Linked DNA regions of Ovis aries. The protein of the gene in region 1 interacts with the protein of each later gene in a biochemical or structural test. Links are inferred from orthologs where the notes say so. Each region holds a gene or a part of one and is shown on either strand. Other genes may lie near its edges.

Region 1 (7,144 bases):
ATGAATTTGAGCAAACTCCAGGAGATACTGGAGGACAGAGGAGCCTGGTGGGCTTCAGTCCATGGGGTCACAAAGAGTCAGACATGACTTAGCAACTGAACAACAACAATAAGTGACGTCACCTCTGAGTTCCAGTGTTCTTCTAAGTACAACAGAGGTAATAATAGTATAATATTGCTGAGTGAGAATTGAGATAATTCCCATAAAGTGCTAAGTGTACAGCTTGGACCATTTATTTTCACTCCATAAACTATAATTACTACAGTTATTATTATTTTCTCACTCTCTGCTCTCCCCACCCCCAATTTAGCCAATGGTCACCCTGCTTCTAATATTGTACCCAAGAAACTGACCCCAGATCACTCCCTGACCTGCCCCAAACCCTCGCTGGTCCACACTGCCTTCAGGAGAGGGCTCTCTGCTCCTCACCTGATCCTGAAGACCTTCCCGGGCAGTCCCCCTGCTTCCCAGCAGAACAGGGTCTCTTGGGACACCAGGATTACCAGACCCATTCCTGACTCCTAATGTGAGCTAAGAGCTGGAGAGCAACCCAGGAACCTTCCTGGCAGAAGAGAAGGCAGTGGTGCAACCAGAGAGCATAGCCCTGAAGGCAAGGGGCCCTGGCGTGTAGGAAGCAGTGTGGCCACAGCCTAGGTTCGGTTCAGTTCAGTTCAGCTCAATCGTCAGTCAGGTCCAACTCTGCGACCCCATGAATCGCAGCACGCCAGGCCTCCCTGTCCATCACCATCTCCCGGAGTTCATTCAGACTCACGTCCATCGAGTCGGTGATGCCATCCAGCCATCTCATCCTCTGTCATCCCCTTCTCCTCCTGCCCCCAATCCCTCCCAGCATCAGTCTTTTCCAATGAGTCAACTCTTCCATGAGGTGGCCAAAGTACTGGAGTTTCAGCTTTAGCATCATTCCTTCCAAAGAAATCCCAGGGCTGATCTCCTTCGAGCCTCAAATGTCACAGTTTGGTTTTTCCTGATGACAGTGGAGAGAAAGACATACAGACATCACTTCAGAATGATCTGATGGGTGCTGGCAGGGGGACAGATGGAGGGGACAGACTGGGGAGGACAGGTCTTAAGATCCATTGGTGGAGGACTGGGGTGGGGGGTGCAAATTGAAGAGGGGTGGAGAGGAGGTCTGAAGGCAGCCTTGTTGAGGGCTGGGTGTCAAAGGCTGGAAGGAGATACAGGAGGCTCCTGGAGCCAGAATGTATCAGAAAGCTGCTGGGGAAGAAGCGCCAGGGTAGGAGAAGCAGGCATAGGATCAAAGGAGATGGTGGACGGTGGTGGGCTTGGTACCCTGGCATAACAACAGCAGGCCTCAAACAGCACCACTTGCTATACTGCTGGACAGACTGTAAATAGCCGGAGTCAAGAGAATCCTCTTCGGATTCAGACAGACAAGGTTCAAGTCCCAGCTTTATTACTGTGAGACCTTGAGCAAATGACCTCACCTCTCCGAGCCTCAATGTGCTCTTCTGTAAAATTGGTTAGTGATCCTGACTATGGGCGGTGGATTCAGGATTCAGTAGGAATGCCCAGCACTTCCAGAGCACACAAGAGGGGCCGACGAAATGCCGGCTACCTTTGTGACTACTAACCCGGGGCGCGACCAGTTAGGGAGCAGCTCGGCAGGAACCAAAGTCCTGTGGGTCTCATCTCTTGTCTCCCAGAGAACTGGGTGGGGATCCAGGAGTGGAAGGCCCAGGCGTTGCTGGCTCACCACCTTCAATGTCGCCGCGCCCCCTGGCGGCTATCGGTTGCCATATCAACGGCGGGTCGGCGGGGGCCCGGGGAGGCGGCGGTCGGGGCCCGTTCTCCCTTCCCCGGACCCGAGGCCGCTCTCTCGGCACCTCTAGTCCTCGCCTGCGTAGAGTGGGGTGTGAGAGCGGGTGGGGAAATCCCGAGCCGGGGAGGAAGGGACTCCCCGCTGCGGCTGGCATGTGCGGGTAAACTGAGGCACGCGGTAAGTCGCGCCCCGAAGCCAGGTGTTGAGCGCGGGGCCCCACCTCCGAAGGCGGAGGAGGGGCCGCGGGCGGTGACGCGCCGAGGGCGGCGGGCGGGCGGGAGGCAGGCGGCGGCGGCGGCAGGTGCGGCCGCTGAGGGTGGAAGGGAGGAGGGAGGGGGCGGGCGGAGGGGGAGGGGAGGGCGAGGCCTGGGCACCTCCCCCTTTATAACGCGCCCCCTCCCGGGCTCTCGGGCCGCCTCCTCATCGGCTGTTTCCGTCTGGCCCCCTCGCCCGGCCGCCCCGGGCCCGGGCCCGGCCAGGGAGCCCCCAGGCCGCGGCTCGGGGGGCCGCCCCCCCACCCCCCCTGCGCCCGGCGCCCAGCGCAGCCCGGCGGAGGCGGCGCCGTCGGAGGAGGAGGAGGAGCAGGGCACTGCGGCTGGCCCCGGATCGGGCGCCAGAGCGGCAGCGGCTTCGGCAGCGGCGGCGGCGGCGGCCCGAGCCGATGCAGCGGGACGCACCACCTCGAGCCCCAGCCCCGGCGCCCCGGCTCCCCGCGCCCCCGATCGGGGCCACCGCCGGCGCCGGCGGCGGCGGAGGCGGGGGCAGCGGCGGTGGCGGAGGCGCCTCTGCAGCTTCGGCTCCTCCTGGCCTCCCGGGAACTACAAGTCCCAGGGGGCCTGGCGGCGGGCGGCGGGCGGAAGAGGCGGGGTCGGCGCCTCGAGGCCGGAAGTGGCCGTGGAGGCGGAAGTGGCGCGGCCGCGGAGGGGCCTGGAGCACGGCGGCGGGACCCGGAGCGGGAGCGGCGGCGGCAGCAGCGGCGGCGGCGGTGGTGGCTGGAGGCGGCGGCGGCGGCGCACTGGAGTCAGCCATGGCAAAGCAGTACGACTCGGTGGAGTGCCCTTTTTGTGATGAGGTGACCAAATATGAGAAGCTCGCTAAAATCGGCCAAGGCACCTTCGGGTAAGGCTGGGCCCCCCCTCAACCCCCAGGGACCGGGAGCCTCCTGAACCTGCACCCCTCCGGGCCGACGTCGGGACGCCCAGACCCGGGCCCGGTTGGTCGGGAAGCCACTTAGACGCAAACTTATCCCCTGGTCTCGCTAGGCCGCACCGCAACCCCGCCGGGGCCTGAAGGAGTCGGCCGGCTGGGAGGAGCCTGAGGCCCTTAATGGGGGGGCAGGGAGGGGTTGCAGAGAGGAGCCTGTGAGTGGTGCGGGATCTCTCTGCGAGACGCCCGAGTGAGGCGCAAGGAGCAGAGGGAAGAAGGCTGAGACTCGAGAAGGGACCAGAGTCACCGCGTGGTGGGGTAGCCGAGTGCCGTGAGGGACCCGGCCCAGCCCCGCCCGGGATTCCCTTTCCGGGCCTCCTCTGGTGGGGGAGGGGCGGGCTCTGCGGAAACGTCCTCTAAGAGCCCTCTTGGGTCTCCCCTCTCCGCCTGCAGGGAGGTGTTTAAGGCAAAGCACCGCAAGACCGGCCAAAAGGTGGCCCTGAAGAAGGTACTGATGGAGAACGAGAAAGAGGGGGTGAGTATGGGGTGGGGTGGGCAGGTCTCCCAGCTCCTTTGGGCGTGAGGTTGCGTTTCCACCTTTCTGGTTTGGGGACTCTCAACGTAATAGATTCAGATTAGGTGTTTGGAAATTTCCATATTCCAGGAAGTTTGACTTCCCAGTTCAGTCTTTGAATTCAGATGTCTTAGAGCTTTTGATACTTCATTCTTGGGTGAATATGGTTGGTGCCAGGCGGGGGAGCCCATGCTTGTACCCAGTGCCCCTAGGTTTTTGAAGTTAGGAAGTCGTTAAAGACTTTTTCTTTAGGGTTTAATTTTGTTGAACGCAAAAAAGATATATATATGATAATGATAATTACATGCAATGGCTTTGAAAAGGTGATTGGTATTCAGCTGAAAAGCAACAGTCTCTCCTGCCACACACGTGTGTTAGTTCTGGTTCAGCTTTCCAGAGACCAGCTTCTTTAATTATATATTTGTTAACTGCCAAGCAGGTTAAATGCAGGCATAGGGCTAAAATTTATAAGGGTGAAGAAACTGCGGAGCGTCTGATGACTGGTAACAGAACCTTTGTGTGAAGTGTCACTGTTTCGGATCATTCATTGAATTATTTTGATTCATTCATTCAGTTCTTTATGAGGCGTACATAGTTACTCCCGTTTTACATATGTGACATCTGAGACAGCTAATTCCAGAGCCTGTGCATTTACTGTCTCCCAGCCTATGACCCTTCGCGTGGACCCCATGGTCAGTTCCTGGGTCTGTAGTGTGCTCACCCACTTTTGACTTCCTCCTGTCTTTTCTCCCACCCAGTTCCCCATTACAGCATTGCGGGAGATCAAGATCCTCCAGCTTCTAAAACACGAGAATGTGGTCAACTTGATTGAGATCTGTCGAACCAAAGGTAAGTTGTTTGGATCATGTTCCCATTTTCAGATGGAAAAACTGAGGCTTTGTTTGCGGAGTTGACACTGGACACATTTACACTGCCTCTTCTTAACCCAGACATTCCAACTGTGACTGCTTTCTCTGGTCTTTTCATCGGAGCAGGTGCTTCCCCAGGGCCTGCCACAGCACCCAGCCCAGAGAAGGCACTCAGAAAATGTTTTACCTGTGAAGGAATTTGTACCCGGATATTCGGGGTGGCCATGGGTTGGAGGGGTTGGGAGCTAGTTTGGAGGAAATGAGTTACATGTAAGGTTTCTGATTTTTTTTTTAATGCCTCCCCCTCTCTCCTCCTCATTCTTCCTGCCTCAGCTTCCCCCTATAACCGCTGCAAAGGCAGTATATACCTGGTGTTTGACTTCTGCGAGCATGATCTTGCTGGGCTACTGAGCAACGTCTTAGTCAAGTTCACACTATCTGAGATCAAGAGGGTCATGCAGATGTTGCTTAACGGCCTCTACTACATCCACAGGAACAAGGTGGGGGCCCTAGTTGGGGAGGAGAGAGCAGGGCTTGGGCTGGCCTTTGCGCTCACAGCGGGGTGGGCATGGCTAAGGGATCCCTGGGAACCCTCCGCCTTGTGCTTCCTGCAGATCCTGCACCGGGACATGAAGGCGGCTAACGTGCTCATCACCCGCGATGGGGTTCTGAAGCTGGCGGACTTTGGGTTGGCCCGGGCCTTCAGCCTGGCCAAGAACAGCCAGCCCAACCGCTACACCAACCGTGTGGTGACCCTCTGGTACCGGCCCCCAGAGCTGTTGCTCGGTGAGGACTCTCCCGAGCTGGCAGAGGGGAGCAGGGGCTGGGCACTCAGCTCAGTCTCAGCACCCCAACTGCCAGGGCTTCTTGAGCCATCGGCCCCAGGGGCGTGGCCTTTCAGGAGGCCATGGGGCTCAGGGGGCCCTCCCTGGTGTGCTCTTGTTCCCAGGGGAGCGGGACTACGGCCCCCCCATTGATCTGTGGGGTGCTGGGTGCATCATGGCGGAGATGTGGACCCGCAGCCCCATCATGCAGGGCAACACGGAGCAGCACCAGCTCGCCCTCATCAGCCAGCTCTGCGGCTCCATCACCCCCGAGGTGCGTCGCAGCCTGCCTCCTGGGGGCCCCCCAAAGGCCACACACCTTCGAGAGGGGTGGGGGAGGCTCCCTGGCAGGGGAGGAGGGGCACACGGAACAGAGGCAAAACCCTGACCTGGACAGGCGGCTGGTGGAGGCTTACAGTCTGCTGTTAGCCATGGCGACGTCAGGTCTGGGCTGCGTCCCTGGTTCCTGGGGTTTTCCGGCAAGGTGTCTTGAGCACCTCACCTCAGGGCTGATCTCTGCCGTGAGACATCTGTGGTTCTGTCACACTTGGCACACATCTCCCAGGCGATTCACACCAAAGGGCCTGGTATTCAGTGCCTGTGTCCCATCTGTGGTTACTGCTGCTTTGGCCGCAGAGGGCTCTGGGGTGGTCTGGAAGCATCTGAGCAAGTTGTACGTGTTTACTTAGTTATTTTTGGCTGCTCTGGATCTTCACTGCTGAGCCTGGGCTTTCCCTAGTTGCAGTGCGGGGGGCTTACCTTGCTCCAGAGCACTGGCGTTAGACCCGGGCTTCAGTCGTTGTGGCACACGGGCTTAGTTGCTTCATGGCATGTGGAATCTTGCCAGACCAAGGATTGAACCCGTGTCCCCTGCATTGGTAGGCAGTTCTTAACCATCGGATCACCAGGGATGTCCTGAACGGAGACGTATCCAGTCACTACATACTTGACCAGTGGATCAGTCACATACCCTGCTGAACTAGTCTTCCCCTCTTTCCATGCCTCCCCCCTACCCCAGGTGTGGCCAAATGTGGACAAGTACGAGCTGTTTGAGAAAGTGGAGCTGGTCAAGGGCCAGAAGCGGAAGGTGAAGGACAGGCTGAAGGCCTACGTGCGAGACCCCTACGCGCTGGACCTCATCGACAAGCTGCTGGTGCTGGACCCCGCCCAGCGCATCGACAGTGACGACGCCCTCAACCACGACTTCTTCTGGTCCGACCCCATGCCCTCGGACCTCAAGGGCATGCTCTCCACCCACCTGACATCCATGTTCGAGTACCTGGCACCTCCACGCCGGAAGGGCAGCCAGATCACCCAGCAGTCAACCAACCAGAGCCGGAATCCTGCCACCACCAACCAGACGGAGTTTGAGCGCGTCTTCTGAGGGCTGGCTGCTATTGCTTCTCGTTAGGGCCGTGGTTTTGGTTTTTTTTCTTCTGCTCTGTGACTTGCAGCGTGGAGATTATGGGGCATGTGAGTTTTTCCTCTAGCGCATATCTTATTTAATCCGCACCCTGGGCGTCGGGCACCAACCGAGCAGACTGGAGTAAAACTTTGGTGGAGAGTCCAGGAAGGCACCTGAGCTGCCCACCTTGTTCCCTGGCTTTGGCAGTGACGCTCAGAGGGCCTCCCTTTACCTTAGGGCAGGACTGGGGTGGGGGGAGAGGCATGCCCCCCCGGTGACTCTGAGAGACCCCAGCATGCTGGGAGGAGGGGACTGGTCCCTCACCCACCCTGGCCCTCCCTGTGGGATGAGAAACTTCTGTGGGGCACAGAACCAGCCTCAGGAATGGGAACGGGCTGCTCTCAGCCTAGCCCTCAGAATCTCTGGGGCCGACGGAAGCTATTGGTTTCTTCGATAGGACAGTTTTATCGTGTTGATTTTGTTTGATTGTTCAGAGACATTCCTGGGTACAGGCTGGTCAGTTAC
Region 2 (6,504 bases), on another chromosome or scaffold:
CTTTGTTTTACATATTTGAATTTCTATGACTCTTCGTTCCAAATCTGCTCTACAACAGTCTGCATCTTACAACCTTCTGTCTTCAGTATAAACCAACAGTGATAGCATGTGTATGCATTCATTTGGCTTGCAAATGGTCCAATTGGGAGATTCCTGTGTCAACTGATGGAAAACATTGGTGGGAATATGTGGATCCTACAGTTACTCTGGAATTACTAGATGGTAAGTAGAGAAAATCTTTTTGTTACAACAGAATATTTTCTTACTTTTTATCATAGATTAAACATTCTGTCTGCTTCTGTATAGGTTTTAAAAAATATTGAGTTCCCATATATTCATGGTCAGTTGAACAGTTTTGGCCAGTCTAGGATCCTCCTTCACCCTGTAGTTACTTGATGCCAATCCCAGGTATCATTTCATCTACTGGTATTTCCTCTTTTGAAAAGATAAAAAATCTTTTAAAACAGTTCTGTTTCAACAAGTTGGCAATAGGATTTAAAAGTACAATTACATGATCACATGAAGAGGATGAGAATAAATTGATTAGCCTAAAGGGGGAAAAATGAACATATTATTAACCACTATTCAATATCTGAAACCCTTTCATGACTTTTCAAAGAAATATCATTTAATATAATGCTGCAGGTTGATAATACAAGCATACATAATTTTAAAGTATACTAATTTTGTCGGGTTTAAAATGTATAAACACAAAGCATGTATTAACTTACTGTAGAAGATGTGAAGCAGTAAGCTAATGATATTTTCATGGTAATATTCCTTGTTCTGTTGTTCTGCTGGTGATAAAGTGTGTCATTGTTGCCGTGCATTAATAAGTATGAATTGACAAGGAAAAATTGGGAGTATAAGTTCTATAAATTATGAATCTGGCATTTAGGGGTCTCCTGAAAGGAAATTTTTCTGGCAGGCCAGAGGTAGAATATCTTGCAGATTAAGACATTTTAACCAGGAAGTATAGATTACAGAAAGGAAATAGATAACACTTCTTAGATCTAAACTGATACGTTAGGTTTTCAGCTTCTTTTTGTGTGCTTTCCCCAGCTTCCTTTACAAAATTGAAACTGATGAGAAAACTGGATTTATAGGACATCTGTTAAGTAAAAGTGAGAGACCCCTAAGGCTTTGGAAATTGGTTTTCCATTAATATCTCAGATGCTTCTTTAAGGTAGAAATTTATTTAAGGGTCTGCACCCTTTTCTGTGAAGGGCCAAGTAGTAACTGTTTTAGGGTTTGTGGGCTATACTGTCTGTGCAACAAGACAACTCTGCCACCAGAGCTAGAAAGCAACCACAGGCAACTATAAGTATATAGCTGTGTTCTAGTAAATCTATTTGCAAAAACAGGATACAGGTCATATTTGGCTCACTAGTGATAGTTTAAAGTTTACTCAGAGTAGTAGGAAATCTTCAGCGAGTTGAAATATAACATCTTCTAAAAACTAATGGGAACTTTTTATTTTCCCATTTGTGACTTGAAATTATCTGTGCCACCATCTTATTTTAGCAGTCAACAGGTAAGATAAAATAGTTGTCTTATCTATTGATAGATATGATAAGATACAAATAAGATAAAAACTTAATAGAAATAGTTTCTATACATGTCTCTAAAATAAAGTTTATAGAAAGCAAGTAATCTGCCTTTTATCCTGCTCTTAAATTGTAGGTAAAGTCTTTTTTGACACAACACGAGCCATCTAAATATGTCTTTGCTTCTATTCTGAAAAAGCTCAAGTTCATATTCATTTGAACATTGAATAGGAATCTTGGACACTTAACACATTGAAAATTTCAACATATTATGTAGCAGCCTTTTCTCTATTTTGATTACATTAAAAAGTAACAAAATTTCAGATGTTAACAGTATCTGAATTTTACATTTAATGACTGTCACCAGAACAGCATTGATTGTGTTTGGCCTACCTGTAAGAGGGTTGTGGCCGGGCGGTTATTGATTAATAACAAACCCTCATGTGTTTTTTATAATGTGAATTTTTCTGAAGCTGAATCAGAATGATTTATTGTTAATTTTGGACCCAGGGGGATTGTGTATCTGCTAGATTTACTACTATGTCCAAGTAGAAAAGTGGTCTTTTTTTTTTTAATGAAGAAGTGGTAGTATAGGCATTAGATCTTTTTTTCATCTAAACTGAATCAAAAAGCTCCTGAGACTTTAGCAGGAACTACTTATCACAGATTATGAGCACATAATGATGCCAAATTTTTATCAGTCTCTTTATACTAAATTGGCATTAATAATATTACATGACATTCTCATTTGATATTATTAATACTTGTGTTGAGAGTGGCCAGTAACTTTATTAATAACACTATTTTTCTATGGAGTTGAAAACTAGAATTCATCTTAACCATACCACTTTGGAAAAGTGAATCATCTCTTATTTCATTATAATTCTAAATTTAAGAAGAAAAATTGTAGAAATGTGACCAGGGTGGTTTACTGAAATGTTAATACTGTGTTGATCGCTAGGAAGTTACAAGTATAGGTAAAGAAATTTTTTCATTTTAACTTTGAAATGGTTTTAAATTTAAAGAAACTGTGAAATGGTACAAAGTCTGTGCTGTTATACCCTGTACCCAGTTTCTCTAATATTAGCATCTTACGTAATAATAACATCTAAGATCCCATGTTCCATTTAGTTGCCATGCCCCCCTTTAATCTCTTCCAATCTGTGATAATTTTTCAATCTTTTCTTTCATGTCCTTAACACTTTGAAGAATAATTGTCAGTTATTTTATAAAATGTTCCTCAATTAGAGTTTGTCTGATGTTTTCCCATTGTTAAATTGAGGTTTTACATTTTGGGCAAGAATACCACAGAAATGAGTTGTCCTACTCAGTGCATTTCATCAAGGTATATCAAGTTGATATGTTTTATTACTGGTAATGCTAGTCATGATCACTTGGTTAGGGTCGTAAAGTTACTAATTTTCTCTTTGTAATTAATATCTTGATTATACAAATATTCTCTTTTTTCCTTGAACTTTCGGGCACTGATTGTAAAGAATCTAACGATGGACCTTCCCCACCACGATTATTCCTGATGTTTGCCTGATAGCAGTTTTCTGTTTGGGAGCAATTTTTTAAATGTGACTAAATTTTTCAGAGATTCTAAGTAAGCATTTAAAATCAGGGAGATGTGGGAGATGGGGTTTTTGTTTGATTATTTTTTGTTTGTTTGTTTGTTTTGTTTTGTTTTTTTTAATCAAAAAATTTTTTTTTAAGATTCTTCTTTGAAAATACCAGTTCAAAGCTGTGTGTACTTCTGTATGTGCTAATGGTTGAATTAGGAAGGTGGTCATGAAGTAGATGAACTCTTGTGCTTTCTTTTTAATATTGCCCACTTGAGAGAATTCTAAATCTAAAGGCACCTTCTAAGTTTTAAATTTAAATTTTATTTTTAGAGCTAACACATGAGTTTCTACAAATATTGGAGAAAACGCCTAGTAGGTTGAAGAAGATTCGATACTGGAGGGTAAGAGAATTGACAGGGTTTATCAGAACATCAATTTGCTAATTTGAATTTTTATGGTTAAATATTCTTATTTCTAATATTTGAAGTAATTACAGTGTATCATAAGCTACATGCGCTCATAATTTATCCAACTACTGTGTCCAGTATACTTTGCTATAAATATGGATTTCTTATTCTCATAGTGATTACTGTGGAAATAGTATCCTCACGTTACAAGAAGGGGAATTAAAGCTAGACAAGTTAAATTCCTCTCTCAGATGCTGGGCTGGAATTTATTCAGTATTTAGTTTAAAGCCAATGCTTTCACTATATATAGTCTTATTTTATGGCTCTAAATAAGATGTTTGTTTACTGGCAATAAAGTCCAACCCCAGGTGATTTTATTTTCATATATTTAATATAGAATTTTTATAAGCAAAGAAATTTATATTAAATTCCTTTGCTGTCATTGTTTCTTTTGTGTTTTATTTAAATAGGCTAACCAGGCAGCTGGGAAACCAAAAGTAGATGGACAAGTATCAGAAACGCCTCTTCTGGGTTCATCTTTGGTCCAGAATTCCATGTTAGTAGATAGTGTTACTGGTGTGCCTACCAAACCAAGTTTTCAGAAACCATCTACATCAGCTTTCCCTGCACCAGTACCTCTAAATTCAGGAAATATTTCTGTTCAAGACAGCCATGCATCTGATAATTTGTCAATGCTAGCAACAGGAATGCCAAGTACCTCATATGGTTTGTCATCACACCAAGAATGGCCTCAGCATCAAGAGTCGGCAAGGACAGAACAGATATATTCACAGAAACAGGAAACATCTTTGTCTGGTAGCCAGTACAACATCAACTTCAAGCAGGGGCCTTCTGCATCATTGCATTCAGGATTACATCACAGACCTGACAAAATTTCTGATCACTCTTCTGTTAAGCAAGATTATACTCATAAAGCAGGGAGCAGTAAACACCACGGGCCAATTTCTGCTACTCCTGGAGTAATTCCTCAGAAAATGTCTTTAGATAAATATAGAGAAAAACGTAAGCTAGAAAGCCTTGATCTGGATGCAAGGGATCATTATATAGCTGCCCAGGTAGAACAGCAACACAAACATGTACAGTCTCAGGCAGCCAGCAGCAGTTCTGTGACTTCTCCCATTAAAATGAAAATTCCCATTACAAATGCTGAAAAACCTGAAAAATACATGGCAGAGAAGAAGGAAAAGAGTGGATCACTGAAATTACGGATTCCAATACCACCCACTGATAAAAGTGTCAGTAAAGAAGAACTGAAAATGAAAATAAAAGTTTCTTCATCAGAAAGACACAGCTCTTCTGATGAAGGCAGTGGGAAGAGCAAGCATTCCAGCCCACATATTAGCAGGGACCATAAGGAGAAGCACAAGGAGCATCCTTCCAACCGCCACCACCCCAGCAGTCACAAGCATTCCCACTCATACAGTGGCAGCAGCAGTGGTGGCAGTAAACACAGTGCTGACGGAATACCGCCCACTGTTCTGAGGAGTCCTGTTGGCCTGAGCAGTGATGGCATTTCCTCTAGTTCCAGCTCTTCAAGGAAGAAGCTGCATATCAATGATGCATCTCACAACCATCACTCCAAAATGAGCAAAAGTTCCAAAAGTTCAGGTAGTTCATCTAGTTCTTCCTCCTCTGTTAAGCAGTATATATCCTCTCACAACTCTGTTTTTAACCATCCCTTACCCCCCCCTCCCCCTGTCACATACCAGGTGGGCTACGGACATCTCAGCACCCTCGTGAAACTGGACAAGAAGCCAGTGGAGACCAACGGTCCTGATGTCAATCACGAGTACAGTACAAACAGCCAGCATATGGACTACAAAGACACATTCGACATGCTGGACTCGCTGTTAAGTGCCCAAGGAATGAACATGTAATCATTTCTTTAGGTCAATTTTTCCTTTTCTTTTTTAATTTAAAAATTGTTAGAATGAAAAACTTCCTCCTGATCTAGCAGTGGTAACACCTGCTGTTACTACCACTGCTTCAATATTTGTAAGTGCTGCTTTATTCTTCATTCTGAAAAGAAGAGATTATAGTAAACAAGTCTTTATCTCCACATATGATAGTGTTATAAATACTGTAAAAGCATGGAAGGTGCAAAACTCAGTATTTCTACAATTGCAGCTAAGAACATTAGGGTGAATGGCTGGCTGCTTCTAGGAATATAAGATGCCTCAAGCATTCGTTTATTTATAATTTGAATACTGTAGCTATTTTTTGTTGTTGCTTGGCTTTTGAATGAGTGTAAATTGTTTTCTTTTGTGTATTTATACTTGTATGTATGATTTGCATGTTTCACTGATAAAGGGATAAAACAGTATACTGACAACTGTTTACAAGAAGGTGGAGAAAAATGTACATACATTTTTGTATGTTTAGATATTACCATAAATACTCAGGATTGGAGCTGCTTGTAAGTATAACAATATACAGAATAACTTTATTTTATCTTGTCAGAGTCCATCACTAATCTAAAACAAAGGTGGCACTTTTTCATGTTAACCTTAAACTCTAGGCCTTACTGGAAGCCACTGAAGGGGGACACTTCACTACCGGATGGGTATGCAGTGCCACAGATGGTTGTTTTCTCCATGAGGCACTGATTCTGCCTTCAGAGGTTCTGACCAGACTGGCTGCTGAAAGAGCCCCTGAATTTCTGAAGGCTTGAAGAGGAAAAAATAAAGTTTACATACTCTTGATGTGAAGTGCATTTAAGTGTTTGTTGGCTTGTTGCAGTACTATAAACACAGAGGTGTTAATAATGGTTATGTAGATTACTGTGATTTGAAAACTAAATTCACAAAAACTTACATTAGTGCAGAATTAGTAAGTTTTTTTCTTAAATAAAGAACTTTAACACTACATATTTTAACCATAAACAGAATCGCTTTTCCTTTGGCATTCAGAATGACACCATGTTCTTAAACATACCCCTCCCTTGAAGTGTGTTTGTGTGTGATG

The links.
Region 2: the proteins of CDK9 (region 1) and CCNT2 form a complex in vitro, tested with the Homo sapiens proteins (4 studies listed by BioGRID, with this or other methods). The link is inferred for Ovis aries from reciprocal best matches to the Homo sapiens genes CDK9 and CCNT2.

What each region holds. Positions count from the first base shown.
Region 1 is NC_056056.1:8,429,147-8,436,290, reverse strand, and holds the start of CDK9 (cyclin-dependent kinase 9), read left to right. Parts: upstream 1-2,685; 5' UTR 2,686-2,828; coding exon 2,829-2,920; intron 2,921-3,400; coding exon 3,401-3,482; intron 3,483-4,279; coding exon 4,280-4,370; intron 4,371-4,723; coding exon 4,724-4,890; intron 4,891-5,004; coding exon 5,005-5,176; intron 5,177-5,339; coding exon 5,340-5,488; intron 5,489-6,232; coding exon 6,233-6,598; 3' UTR 6,599-7,144. UniProt on the Homo sapiens protein: Protein kinase involved in the regulation of transcription.
Region 2 is NC_056055.1:175,804,659-175,811,162, reverse strand, and holds part of CCNT2 (cyclin-T2), read left to right. Parts: intron 1-58; coding exon 59-222; intron 223-3,442; coding exon 3,443-3,513; intron 3,514-3,989; coding exon 3,990-5,417; 3' UTR 5,418-6,504. UniProt on the Homo sapiens protein: Regulatory subunit of the cyclin-dependent kinase pair (CDK9/cyclin T) complex, also called positive transcription elongation factor B (P-TEFB), which is proposed to facilitate the transition from abortive to production elongation by phosphorylating the CTD (carboxy-terminal domain) of the large subunit of RNA polymerase II (RNAP II).